Linked DNA regions of Callithrix jacchus. The protein of the gene in region 1 interacts with the protein of each later gene in a pairwise test. Links are inferred from orthologs where the notes say so. Each region holds a gene or a part of one and is shown on either strand. Other genes may lie near its edges.

Region 1 (6,023 bases):
CTTTTAGAAAAAAAAATTCCCCCAGATTCCTTCACTCTATCATCACTCCAACCCGCAGGGATCACGATCCCATTTTTTGGATAAACAGGGCAATGGAGATGAGCCTAAACCATGAGAACTGTCAGTCTCCGCCGCCCACGTCCACACGGATCTGCCTGAAACCCCAATACCAATTTTTTTCAACTCCCACATGCTCCTGAGAGGAACTAGATCGGGGCCTAAGGCCGGCATGGAAACGAGAGGGAAAGGAGGAGGTGCTGCTGAGGACTGATGGATGAACCCATCATCCATGGGTGAAGGGAGTGTCGAGCTTGGTCTTGAGGTCAGGAGGTGACAAAGGCACATTCCTGAGACCTGGCCTTCTGCTCTGGGGAAAGCCCGGGCAAGAAAGGGCTTTTCGCCCATCAGAAGGCCCAGAGGGTGCCCACCTGTGTCCACAAAGAGCCCGGCCCAAGAACCCAAACAGGTCAGGAAGGAGCCCCACTCCCACCAGGGCATAAGTGGGGTGTCCTTCTGTCAGGGGCACCCTTCCTCTGGACAGTGGGGGTCCCACCCAGCCCAAGGGGCCGTCCCCCGAGATCTGTCACCAGCGGCCCGGCCGCACCTGTGACCCAGCGCTCTGGGGGCTCCCTTCCCGGCAGTGCCGAGGGCGCGCGCAGCCTACCTGGAGTTCGCCCTCGGTGCGGTGCAGTCCCAGGCGCCGCAGCCCCACCGCCAGGTCGTTGACACACAGACCGCCGTCCCTGTTGACGTCGAGCGTCTGAAAGAGGCTCCACAGGCGCAGCCGGTGGTCCGGGCCCCCACAGACGGCGCCGCCGCAGGGGTCCCCCACCGACGCCGGCGACGAGGCGGACGAGGAGGCGGCGGCGGCGGCGTCCGGCGGCGGGGAGGCCACACAGCGGCACAACACACTGCTCACCATCGGGTGCGAGGCAGGGGCTCTGAACGCGGGCGGGGGCGGCGGGCCGGCGGGGACGGCGCGGAAGGCACGCCGGGCACCACTCTGGAAGTGCAAGCGCGGGCTCGGAAACGCCGGCAAGCTGGAGGGAGGGGAGGCTTCCGGGAGCCCCGCCCCTCCCGCGCGCTGCCTCACAGGCCACGCCCCCAGAATCCTCGAGGCCAATCACAGGCTCGGACGGAGACCCTGGAGGGGCGGAGCCGACTAAGAACAGCCCACAGCGCCCCGAACTACCCGGATTAATGGGGTGGGCGGGGTCATCCCGTTCCGCCTGGGGCCGATTCAAACTGATGGAGGCGGTGATTGGCTGAGCGAGAGACGAGAGAGTGAGAGAGAGAGAGAGAGAGAGAGAGAGAGAGAGAGGAGAGAAAGGAGAGAGAGAGAGAGAGAGAGAGAGAGAAAAAAAATTGAGGAAAAATTACGCAGCGATAGGCAGAAGTCATATGATTAGGCGGAAGACCCCGTGTCCAGTTTCCATTGATGAACTCTGTTTAGACTATGGGATCTTAAAGATGGGAGGAGCGGTCGTGTACGGAGAGATCGTAGCCTCCGGTGGGAAATAGGATTTGTGTGAGAGCATTTATGAACTGCAGTTGCGAGGCGGAGTTTGTGCCGGTGAGAGGAATTAAAAATTAATTGACTCACAGCTCACGGCCGAAAGCACTAAGTATCCTCAGGAAGCAGGGTTTTGGTAATCTAACTCCGTAAACCATCAATAAAATAGCTGAGTTTAACGGCTTAATAGTCATAATACTGATAATTGAACGACAGAATGATTTCCCAATGAAAGTGAATTAAGCTTAGGTGGGCGGGGCGCTCTGGACGACAGACACAATTTTAGACCAAAGATCAGGCTAATTCCAGTAAGTAGGCGTGCTCTTTAGCTGAGCGACAGACAGAAAGAACCAGTGATCGATGTGATATTTGAGCCGCGCCCCACCGGGAGGGCGGGTTCTCCCGCAGAAGGGCTGGGAGGCGGGAAGAGGGGAAGTGGGCGGATCTCCGCACACCCCGGCGGAAGAGGCAGATTCAGGAAGCCATTACGCAGCTGGCTGGCAGCGGCCGGGCCGGTTGGGGCTGGGCCCTACGCACTTTGCGTAGCGAGGAGGGTTACCTAAGGCCTAGTGCTTGGCCTCGAGCAAGCCCGGCCTATCCCCCTATAGGGGGTGGGTGAGGGGCGAGGCTGAGGAAGAAGAGTAGGGGAATTGGGGCGCTTGAGGGGATTATAATTTCTTTAAACAGAGGGGAGGGGACAGGCCATGGCAGTCCCAGCCAAGAAGAGGAAGATGAACTTCTCGGAGCGGGAGGTGGAGATCATCGTGGAGGAGCTGGAGCTGAAGAAGCACCTGCTGGTGAACCACTTCAACGCCGGGGTACCCCTGGCTGCCAAGAGCGCGGCCTGGCACGGCATCCTGAGAAGGGTCAACGCCGTGGCCACCTGCCGCAGGGAGCTGCCTGAGGTCAAGAAGAAGTGGTCTGACCTCAAGACCGAGGTCCGTCGTAAGGTTGCCCAGGTCCGGGCTGCTGTGGAGGGTGGCGAGGCCCCGGGGCCCACTGAGGAGGACGGAGCTGGGGGGCCTGGGACAGGCGGTGGCAGTGGCGGCGGTGGCCCAGCTGTAGCCCCCGTGCTGCTGACCCCCATGCAACAACGTATCTGCAACCTGCTGGGTGAGGCCACCATCATCAGCCTGCCTAGCACCACAGAGATCCACCCCGTGGCCCTCGGACCCTCGGCCACCGCAGCCACCGCCACGGTCACCCTGACACAGAGTGAGTGACCTCTCCTGTTCAGGCGGCGTGCATAAGTGGGAAGGGCCAGCAAGCTCTGGGGTGGCCTGGGGAAGGTTGGCTGCCAAGGGTCAGAGGTCAGATGGGGGTCTTGGAAGACCGTGAGGCCTTCCAAGAGCAGCACCCCAGACAGAAGTGATCTTGCAGGCTGGGCGCAGTGGCTCACACCTGTAATCCTAACACTTTGGGAGGCTGATGTGGGTGGATCACCTGAGGTCAAGAGTTCAAGACAAGCCTGGCCATCATGGTGAAGCCCCATCTTAAAAAAAAAAAAAAAAGAAGTGATCTTGCTCTCTCAGGGACTTCCTCAGCATGTGGCCTGGACTTCTGATGTGCTGGATAGCTCGCCATTGAGCATTGTCACCATGTTTCCATGACTTACCTCCAGTTGCCAAACTGGGTGGTCCTTGAAGACAGAGACCATGTCTGTATCCCCACAGGACTTTTTGCAGGGCCAGGCATGTAGTAGACAGCCAGGCCGTATTTGTTGAAAAAATAGATGGGAATAATGCTGCCCAAGTGAGACAACAATTCTGGATTGTGTTTTCAGTGCCAGGGAACTTTGATCAGGTGCTGCTCGGGAGCCTCATGGTTCCTGTTGTTAATCTACTCATTCATTGATTCATTCATTCATCAAACATTAGCACTTATTCTGTACCAAACCCTGTACTGGGCATTGGGATTACCATGTTGTCTAAAATAACAGGCCAGTTATGTTCTAGTAGGACAGAGATGGCATATATAGGAATAGCTTCACCATCAGTTAGGAAAACCTAAGGTTCCAAAAGAGAAAGGGGGCTTCTTGGTGGCATGGGGATACGTAGCTGACATTGGCATTGAAGGGTGTAGGAGCTTGACCTCTTCTACATGCGTGGAGGCCCAAACAGCCCAGCTAGGATCCTTTTCAAGGTTCTCAGCTAGAAATAACAACAGAACTAACTTTGGTTGGATTTTTTTAGTTCAGAGAAGGGTTTGTGCCTGTGACTGTTAACTCTGCTTGTTTGTAATGGCTGTGAGCTGGATCCATCAGTGATTCTTAGTAGGGGTTGAGGGAGCTGGGTGGATGTGTGAGTGCCATCCCCCTGTAATGCGTATTTCTCAAGAATATGTTGGGGTGGGTAAGAGGGACAAACACGGGTTTAAATCAGATGCTACTCTGGATCAGGAAGGATGTTTGAGTATTGCATTGACCCAGATGATGAAAGAGAGAGGGAAACATTGATTGGGCACTTTAGCTGCCACCACCCCATTCCCACCTCCTTTTCTGCTTGGCCACAGGGGACTAGGAAGTCAAGTCAAGAAAACATCAAAGGGCTGGGCGTGGTGTTTTACGCCTGTAATCCCAGCACTATGGGAGGCCGAGGTGGGCAGATCACTTGAGGTCAGGAGTTCAAGACCAGCCTAGCCAATATGGTAAAACCTTGTCTCTACTAAAAGTATAAAAATTCCCCGGGCTTGGAGGCGGGGTACCTGTAGTCCCAGATACTCAGGAGGCTGAGGCACAAGAATCACTTGAACCTAGGAGGTGGAGGTTGCAGTGAGCTGAGATCATGCCACTGCGCTCCATCCTAGGCAACATAGCAAAAGAGCAAAAATCCATCTCAAAAATAAATAAATAAAAAGCAAGCATGAAAGGAGGTAGGACTAATGTAGTGGCAAAGAGCATGTGTAGAGTCCCACCCAAGATGCCTACTGCACTGGCACCACAGGGAGCATGTGACCCAGCCTCCGAGGTGCCTTAGCTAGGAGCAGCCCCGCATGGAGATCAGGGCTCAGCTGTTTGGGAGACCTGGGTTTGCCTTTTGGCTCTGCCGAATGAGCTCTGTGACCTTAGCAAGTCAGTCTACATTTCTCAGTCTGTTTCCTCATCTCTGGAAAATGAAAATGACAGCACCTACCTCTTGCTGTCATTTTGAGGATTTGTTGAGCTAATGAGTACAAAGTGCCTGACATGTTGTAGTTGCTCTGAAAGTTTTGCTAGTATTATGATCAACATCTTCACTTTTGCCAGATCCAGGGCTGGCCCTTTGATTGCCAAGTACATTAAGATTCTGAACCCCTTAGATTCAAGATTTATATGTGAATAGCTATGCAGCCAGGGGAGGCCTGGATTTTCCTTTAATGTCGCTCCAGGACAGGACTTTCTGGCCTTCTCTCCACCCTATACAGCCAGCTTCATTCCTTCTAGAAAGTGACCTTCCTCAGCCTCTTCTTTCTACCCTGCAGTCCCCACAGAGACCACCTATCACACCCTGGAGGAGGGCGTGGTGGAGTACTGCACAACTGAGGCGCCTCCGCCGCTGCCGCCAGAGGCTCCCGTGGAGATGATGGCCCAGCATGCAGACACGGCAGTCAAGCCGCAGGCGCTCAAGAGCCGCATTGCCCTCAACTCCGCCAAGCTGATACAGGAGCAGCGAGTAACCAACCTGCATGTGAAGGAGATCGCGCAGCACCTGGAGCAGCAGAACGACCTGCTGCAGATGATCCGCCGCTCCCAGGAAGTGCAGGCCTGTGCCCAGGAGCGCCAGGCCCAGGCCATGGAGGGCACACAAGCCGCCCTGAGCGTCCTCATTCAGGTCCTCCGGCCCATGATTAAAGATTTCCGCCGCTACCTACAGAGCAACACAGCTAACACGGCCCCTGCCTCTGACCCTGGGCAGGTGGCCCAGAATGGGCAGCCAGACAGCATCATCCAGTGAGGGCAGGGGTCAGGCCAGCCTTCTGCCATGATGGGATGAAAACTCCATGGTCTTGTAAGTGGGTCCTGTGGTTGGCCTTGGCCTTAGGCTGGCCATGAGCACAGCTCCCTCTTTAATAAACACTTAGGGGTTCCATGGTTTTTGAGAAGAGGAATTTGTTGGGCTCCTGGGACCCAAACTCTTCCACTACTTGAGCTGCCTTGCTGAGATCCAGAAGATTGGTTAGCTGGGGGTCACGTACGCATGTGATAGAACATGTGTTATCTTGACCCAAGGCTTGTGACATGATGCAGACTTGGTCTTGGACAACTGTAAGGAACAACACAACAGGCTGTCACTGGGGGCCATCACCCTGCCTGGGTCTCTATGGAGCTGCCCCACCCCAGGTGCCATCCTTTCGAGTAGGTTAATGTCACTGGTGCTGGCAGTTGAGCAATAATATCTTCCTCCGTTGGGAGGCAGTGTGACTGAGCCTGAGGAGGAAACCGCACCGTTTCTCCTTCTCACTGTGCCTCAGTTCTCAGGGGACTCCATCGACTGTGGTCCTCTCCCCCAACCTCACTCCAGGCACAGCACAG
Region 2 (5,683 bases), on another chromosome or scaffold:
TCATCCAGTAGAATTAGAATCAGGTGGCTCCTGAACCTCCTATCCCTGACTGGCTCTGAGCATAGCGCACCGCTGGTCAGACCTGAGTTGGAGTTGCCAGCGACGCTTGGAAACCCTTGCCAGACTGGACTGAAAAGTGCGTTTGCTTCCTGAGACCCTAAGCTAAATGAAACTGCCCGTAGAGAAAACAAGGTTAGAGGGCTGGATAGAGGCTCTGGAGAAAGGCCAGAGCTGGGGTTGGGAAGGAATGTAAAGGCTGTGCACCTGTTTGCCAGCCCTCGGAGGTGGAGCCCGTGGCTAAGCAATCAAGTGCAGGATCAGCCTTCCAGGGTGGTTTATCTGCATGGCAGGTGTCGATCACCCTCGATTGCCCTAATAGTTTCATCAAGTGTTCCACATTGAGCTGCAGCCCCATAAAATCCCTAGATGTGACGCCAGGTGGAATGGGGGTAAAAATCGGGATTTTCAAATCCCATACATCTGGCATGACTCCGGAGTCACTTTTGACAAATCACCTGTCTTTCTCAACCTAAGTTTCCTAATCTGTAAAATGGCAATATTGCCCACCTCTGAAAAGTGCACCAAGGGTGAGAAATTCCACGCATTTTTCTAATTGTAGGAAGGAGAAGCAAAGTCTTCTCCTCACACTTGATATACTATATGCTAGAGAAAGACCCTCCCTTCAGGTCTCCTCATTCCCTGTCACCCTCCCCCACTCTTAGCCCCTCGGAGCTAACGGAGCCTTGCGCATTTCTGGCCGGTCTTCCCAAGAGAGGCTGGTGCAAAAGCCAATAAGCCTGGAACACACGCAGGTCCCGCCAGTCCTGGGACAATGGTTTCCATTTAATAAATATTTCCCCCAAGGGCATTTCACATCGGGCAGGCAATTATTCAAAGGAAACAGGCGCGCAGGTTGGCTCTGCGGGTTATTTCGTCCTCTTTACCCGAAGAATGCTCATCTGACGCAAGAAACGAGTCTCGCAGCGGGAAGAGGCGCCCAGGGACAAATGGACCCTTGTTGCAGAGACACCATGAGACTCCTCTCTAGGGCCGCTGCAGAAGGGGCACCCAGAAGACCCTCACACCCAGCCTCCAGGCTGTTCTTACGGTTTGAACATTTGCGGAGTGAAAGTTGGAGGTTTAAAGGCACAAATAATAACATAAATGAGAACTGTGATAGAAATCTCAGCCCCACCCCCGCCCCCAAAGTGAAGAACAGGTCTTAGTGCTTTTAAGGGCTCACCAACCAAGGTTCGAAATCTGCATTGCCGGACGCGAGGCCTTCCGGCAGCAGGTCAGAAAACACTGCTCAGCCACCCAGGATGCCAGTATCTACGCCCAAGCGCCGCATCTTGGGGCAGAGATGGATGCCGAGGTGCAGGGGCGTCCCGGGAGAACACTGCCAAAGGACTGCCGAGGGTGGGGCGCGAAAAGTTTATTTCGCTTTTACCCTGAGCTTGCTATGTTCTTTTTCTCTTCCAAGGATCTTTGACAAGGGGGAAAGTGCTGCCCTTGCATTTCTTGGCAAGGCTGTCCTATTTATCAACACAAGGTCTCGCCTAGCTCCCTTTGCTGTCCCTTCCCCGAGCCTTTGTATTCCAAGCCCTAATTCTCTTTCACCACCAGAAACGAAACGGGAGGCGCGAAGAGTTTTATTTGTTGACAGTACCGGAGATAATGAGGAACCCAAGTCCCCAATCCTGAGCTAGCCGCTCTGCTCTCGCCCTCTCTCTGCCTCTGTCCCTCACACCTCTCCCCGCCCCCACCAGTCGCGCTCCCTCTTTCTTGCACCGGCGTGTTGGCAGGTGCGCCCCCTCGGCTTCTCTGCTGCTGATTGGCGCCCAGGTTGGGGAGTCGCCGCCCCGCGCTTATGTCAGAGTGCGTGCCGTCCCGGCCCACCTCGCCTTTGAACTTCGCCGCTTTTGGCTGTCGTTCACCAGCCTCCCCGCATTCTCAGCCAGGTGCAGCGCTAGGCGCGGCAGCTCCAGGAAAGCCACGGGAGGGGGGAGCTACGACTGGAAAAGCAAGAGGAGAGAAGGGAACGAGAGAAGGCAAAGGTGGAGAGGGGGAGAAGGAGGAGCTTCTTGCCCTGGCCAAAAAATTACCTGGCCACTTAATTCCCGAGACTCCGATACTTGGGCCCCAGCCCCTGGTGCCTGCAGCCCCCTGGCCGATCGCCCTCTCCTCCCCCGCCCTTTCCGCTCCCACTAGCTCCCCGGGGGCTGCCTGGGTGCTGGGACTGGCATGATCAGCTGAACTTTCTGGGGTCAGTTCTTCTCTCTGGCTTCCCCTCAGCGGCGCCAAGGCGAGGGGAGCTCAGAACCCCGGCTCTGGACGGACAGACAGACAGACAGCCAACCGCGCCCAGGTTCGTCTGCACAACCCTTGCACTCCCTACCCCCACCCGCCTAGTCGCCGGGACCATGTCCAAACCTTCAGATCACATCAAGCGGCCCATGAACGCCTTCATGGTATGGTCCCGGGGCCAGCGGCGCAAGATGGCCCAGGAAAACCCCAAGATGCACAACTCAGAGATCAGCAAACGCCTAGGCGCCGAATGGAAGCTTCTGTCCGAGGCAGAGAAGCGGCCATACATCGACGAAGCCAAGCGGCTACGCGCCCAGCACATGAAGGAGCACCCTGACTACAAGTACCGGCCGCGGCGCAAGCCCAAGAACCTGCTCAAGAAGGACAGGTATGTCTTCCCCCTGCCCTACCTGGGCGATACGGACCCGCTCAAGGCGGCAGGCCTGCCCGTGGGGGCTTCCGACGGCCTCCTGAGCGCGCCCGAGAAAGCCCGGGCCTTCTTGCCGCCGGCCTCGGCGCCCTACTCCCTGCTGGACCCCGCGCAGTTTAGCTCGAGCGCCATCCAGAAGATGGGTGAAGTGCCCCACACCTTGGCCACCAGCGCGCTGCCCTACGCGTCCACCCTGGGCTACCAGAACGGCGCCTTCGGCAGCCTCAGCTGCCCCAGCCAGCACACGCACACCCACCCGTCCCCCACCAACCCCGGCTACGTGGTGCCCTGTAACTGTACCGCCTGGTCTGCCTCCACCCTGCAGCCCCCCGTCGCCTACATCCTCTTCCCAGGCATGACCAAGACTGGCATAGACCCTTATTCGTCAGCCCACGCCACGGCCATGTAACCCCCAGCCCGGCCCGGACCTGAAGGGTGGCTTGAAAGCCGGGTCTGCACCCTGTCCTCTGAGCCTAGCCCTGGCCTGCAGACGCCTCCGGGGGTCAGCCCTGCCGCTGTCCCTGACACCACCCCAGACTTTTCCTCTCTCTTCCAGGGGGAAGGGAGGGGCGTCCTCCTGGACCCAAGGCGCAGACAGGTGCCAGAAACTTGCAAACGTTGTGACAGCTACACAGCTACCCCTATCCCGACTCTCTCAAAACAAATCTCCGACTGTACCCCCTTTGGACAAAAAAGTAGGCAGTTTTGCTTTATTTATGTCCCCTTCACTCTCCTCGAATAGGCTTTGGACTCTGAACTTTCAGATCCTGATATTATATCTAGAATATGCATATATTTTTTTCCTTTTGTCCCCTGAAGAAAAGAGTTAGCTGTGTCTCTGTGTTTTGGCATCAGACACAACTAGGAGCCATTTGCTCTTCACATGTGGGAGGGAAAAGGCTTCAAAGTTTTAAACTACAGAAAGGGAAACATTTCTATTTAAAACCATGCTATGATACTGTTTGCTTCTTTAAAGGGAAAACAAAAAGGACCTACATGGTTATTTACTTTGTGTAAAGCAGTGCTTCTAGAGACCTAAGTTTACTTTTAGACAGAATGTCGGGTTATGAAGTCAGGAAGTAGAAGGTGAACAAAAAGTTAAAAGAATTAAAAGATCCTAAATGGTCATAAATGTTTTGACAATGTCTTGGAAATGTACCTAGAAGGATTTTACCTCGTTACTCTGTTCATTTGTTGAACAAAGACGTTTTGAATAAAGACAATCTGTCATTGCAAAAAAGTAACCTTTGATGTGCCTAAAATCTGAAGTCAGGAGCCAGGTTGGAGGGGCTGGAAAGTCGGGTTCGGGGAGGCTGAAAGTGCAAAGAGGGACTCTAAGCAGTGATGGCTGGTGGCTGCCCCCTCAACCGCCGTTGGTCCAGCTTGGTGGTCTGCCGGTGTGGTGTAGAAGGGCCTAGAGTCTGGGATCTGTCTGGAATGCGTCCTGGAAATTGCTTTTTGCCTTTAGAGACTAGACAAAGATATCTGTCCCTGGGACTTCACTCTCCCTGCCCGTTCTTCCCGGAAAGGTCAGGCCACTTCAAGGAGTGAATGAACTAAGACAAAGATGGACCCAGACTGCAGAGATCTGGGTGAGTTTACTTTTTTAGAAACCAAACGCTGAAGGAGTGGGGAGAAGCACCGAGTCTCCTGGGAACCAGTTGCGCGCTGAACTCCGCGTCCCGTAGTGGATGTTTAAGTTCAAAGCATGGGAAAAGACTGGGGAAATCGGGTATTTTGTCTTTTTTAGGTGTTTGGAAACGCTGCTGCCCACCCCTCTGGGGATTCGGGGCTTGATACTGGGTTCCTAACTTAAAAACTAAAACTCTAAGAAATGCAGAAAATGTGCCATAGGTCCCCGCCCCAGACTGTCGAACACTTTTTACTGAGACCCTGCAGGAGAAGAGGGAAAAGGAAAGCGACGTTGTCACTTGCTAAGGCAAGGAGTTTTTAAAAATCGTAAGGAAAAAAAAAACAGTGCAGCCCATGATGTTAAACAAGGAAAAGAGCCCTTTTCTTCCCCTCCGGGTGAATGTTTTCTTGAAGATTATTGTCTTTCCTGCGGAGAAAGGACCCTCCGATGTCATCCAGCAAAACTCTTTGGAATGTGTTCTCAAAATCGAAGGGTGCTTCCCACCCTTGGTCTGGGAGTCTCACCCCTAGAGTCACGCTCACGCGTGGTTTTCCTTAATTTGCGTACTTTTCCCACTGCTTTTGATATGCTGCGGGGTGGGAGGTGGGGCAGCCTCGAGGTTTGTCGGCTTTCTGCTGCTGTTAAGAGATTTGCGCGCTTGCCTCTGCTGTTTCCAAAGGAGTCGGTGGCTGGAGGTGCAAGGGAAACGTTGTCAACAGACACCAAAGCCGAAACCCGCGGATTAGCATATTGTCCTCAAAACAATTAGACGTGTTTGAGGTGTTGTTTGGAGCCTATTCATCCGAGCCCCTTTGTCAAAGGGGGATTTTCATTATTAAAAAAAAAAAAAAGTTAGCAGTTGTCCATCTGGCTAAGCTGAATAGCAAAGTGATCCATGTTGTATATGCTTTTCTCATTAAGAGCTCTTTTGAGACCGATGTTAGAATTAAATGGTATAACACAATTAACATACACAGGCGCTGAATAGGAGAGGACGCCTATAAATAATAGATAGATAAATAAATGAGCGATCAGGCGAAGGTAAACAAAGGCGGTCTGAGGGAGGTGTAGGGGGAGGCCGGGCTGGCTGAGCCACGCTTACTTAGCATTACAAAACCCTCTTACAAATCGAGACAATTAGGAAGTGACTTGCCTCTGGTGGCCGTCAGGTCTGGGGGCCCTGGGCGCTTAGGGAAGGCCCCTCCTCCCTCCCCTAGGAAGCCCAGGAGGCCTAGGATAGAGGCGCCAGGGTTTCCCTGTCTGATATAACCCCAACTGACAGTCCTGTCAGCGGCTCTAATAGCCCTCATAGC

Evidence for each region. The genes of interacting proteins can lie anywhere in the genome.
Region 2: the proteins of NAIF1 (region 1) and SOX14 interact in binary tests that used the Homo sapiens proteins (3 or more experiments, as listed by UniProt). The two-hybrid records come from large-scale screens. The link is inferred for Callithrix jacchus from reciprocal best matches to the Homo sapiens genes NAIF1 and SOX14.

The regions. Positions count from the first base shown.
Region 1 is NC_133502.1:176,680,815-176,686,837, reverse strand, and holds the start of NAIF1 (nuclear apoptosis-inducing factor 1), read left to right. Parts: upstream 1-1,974; 5' UTR 1,975-2,217; coding exon 2,218-2,728; intron 2,729-4,972; coding exon 4,973-5,445; 3' UTR 5,446-6,023. Other genes in the region: mitochondrial adenyl nucleotide antiporter SLC25A25, read right to left, coding at 665-922. UniProt on the Homo sapiens protein: Induces apoptosis.
Region 2 is NC_133518.1:46,540,770-46,546,452, reverse strand, and holds SOX14 (transcription factor SOX-14), read left to right. Parts: upstream 1-1,947; 5' UTR 1,948-2,423; coding exon 2,424-3,146; 3' UTR 3,147-3,977; downstream 3,978-5,683. UniProt on the Homo sapiens protein: Acts as a negative regulator of transcription.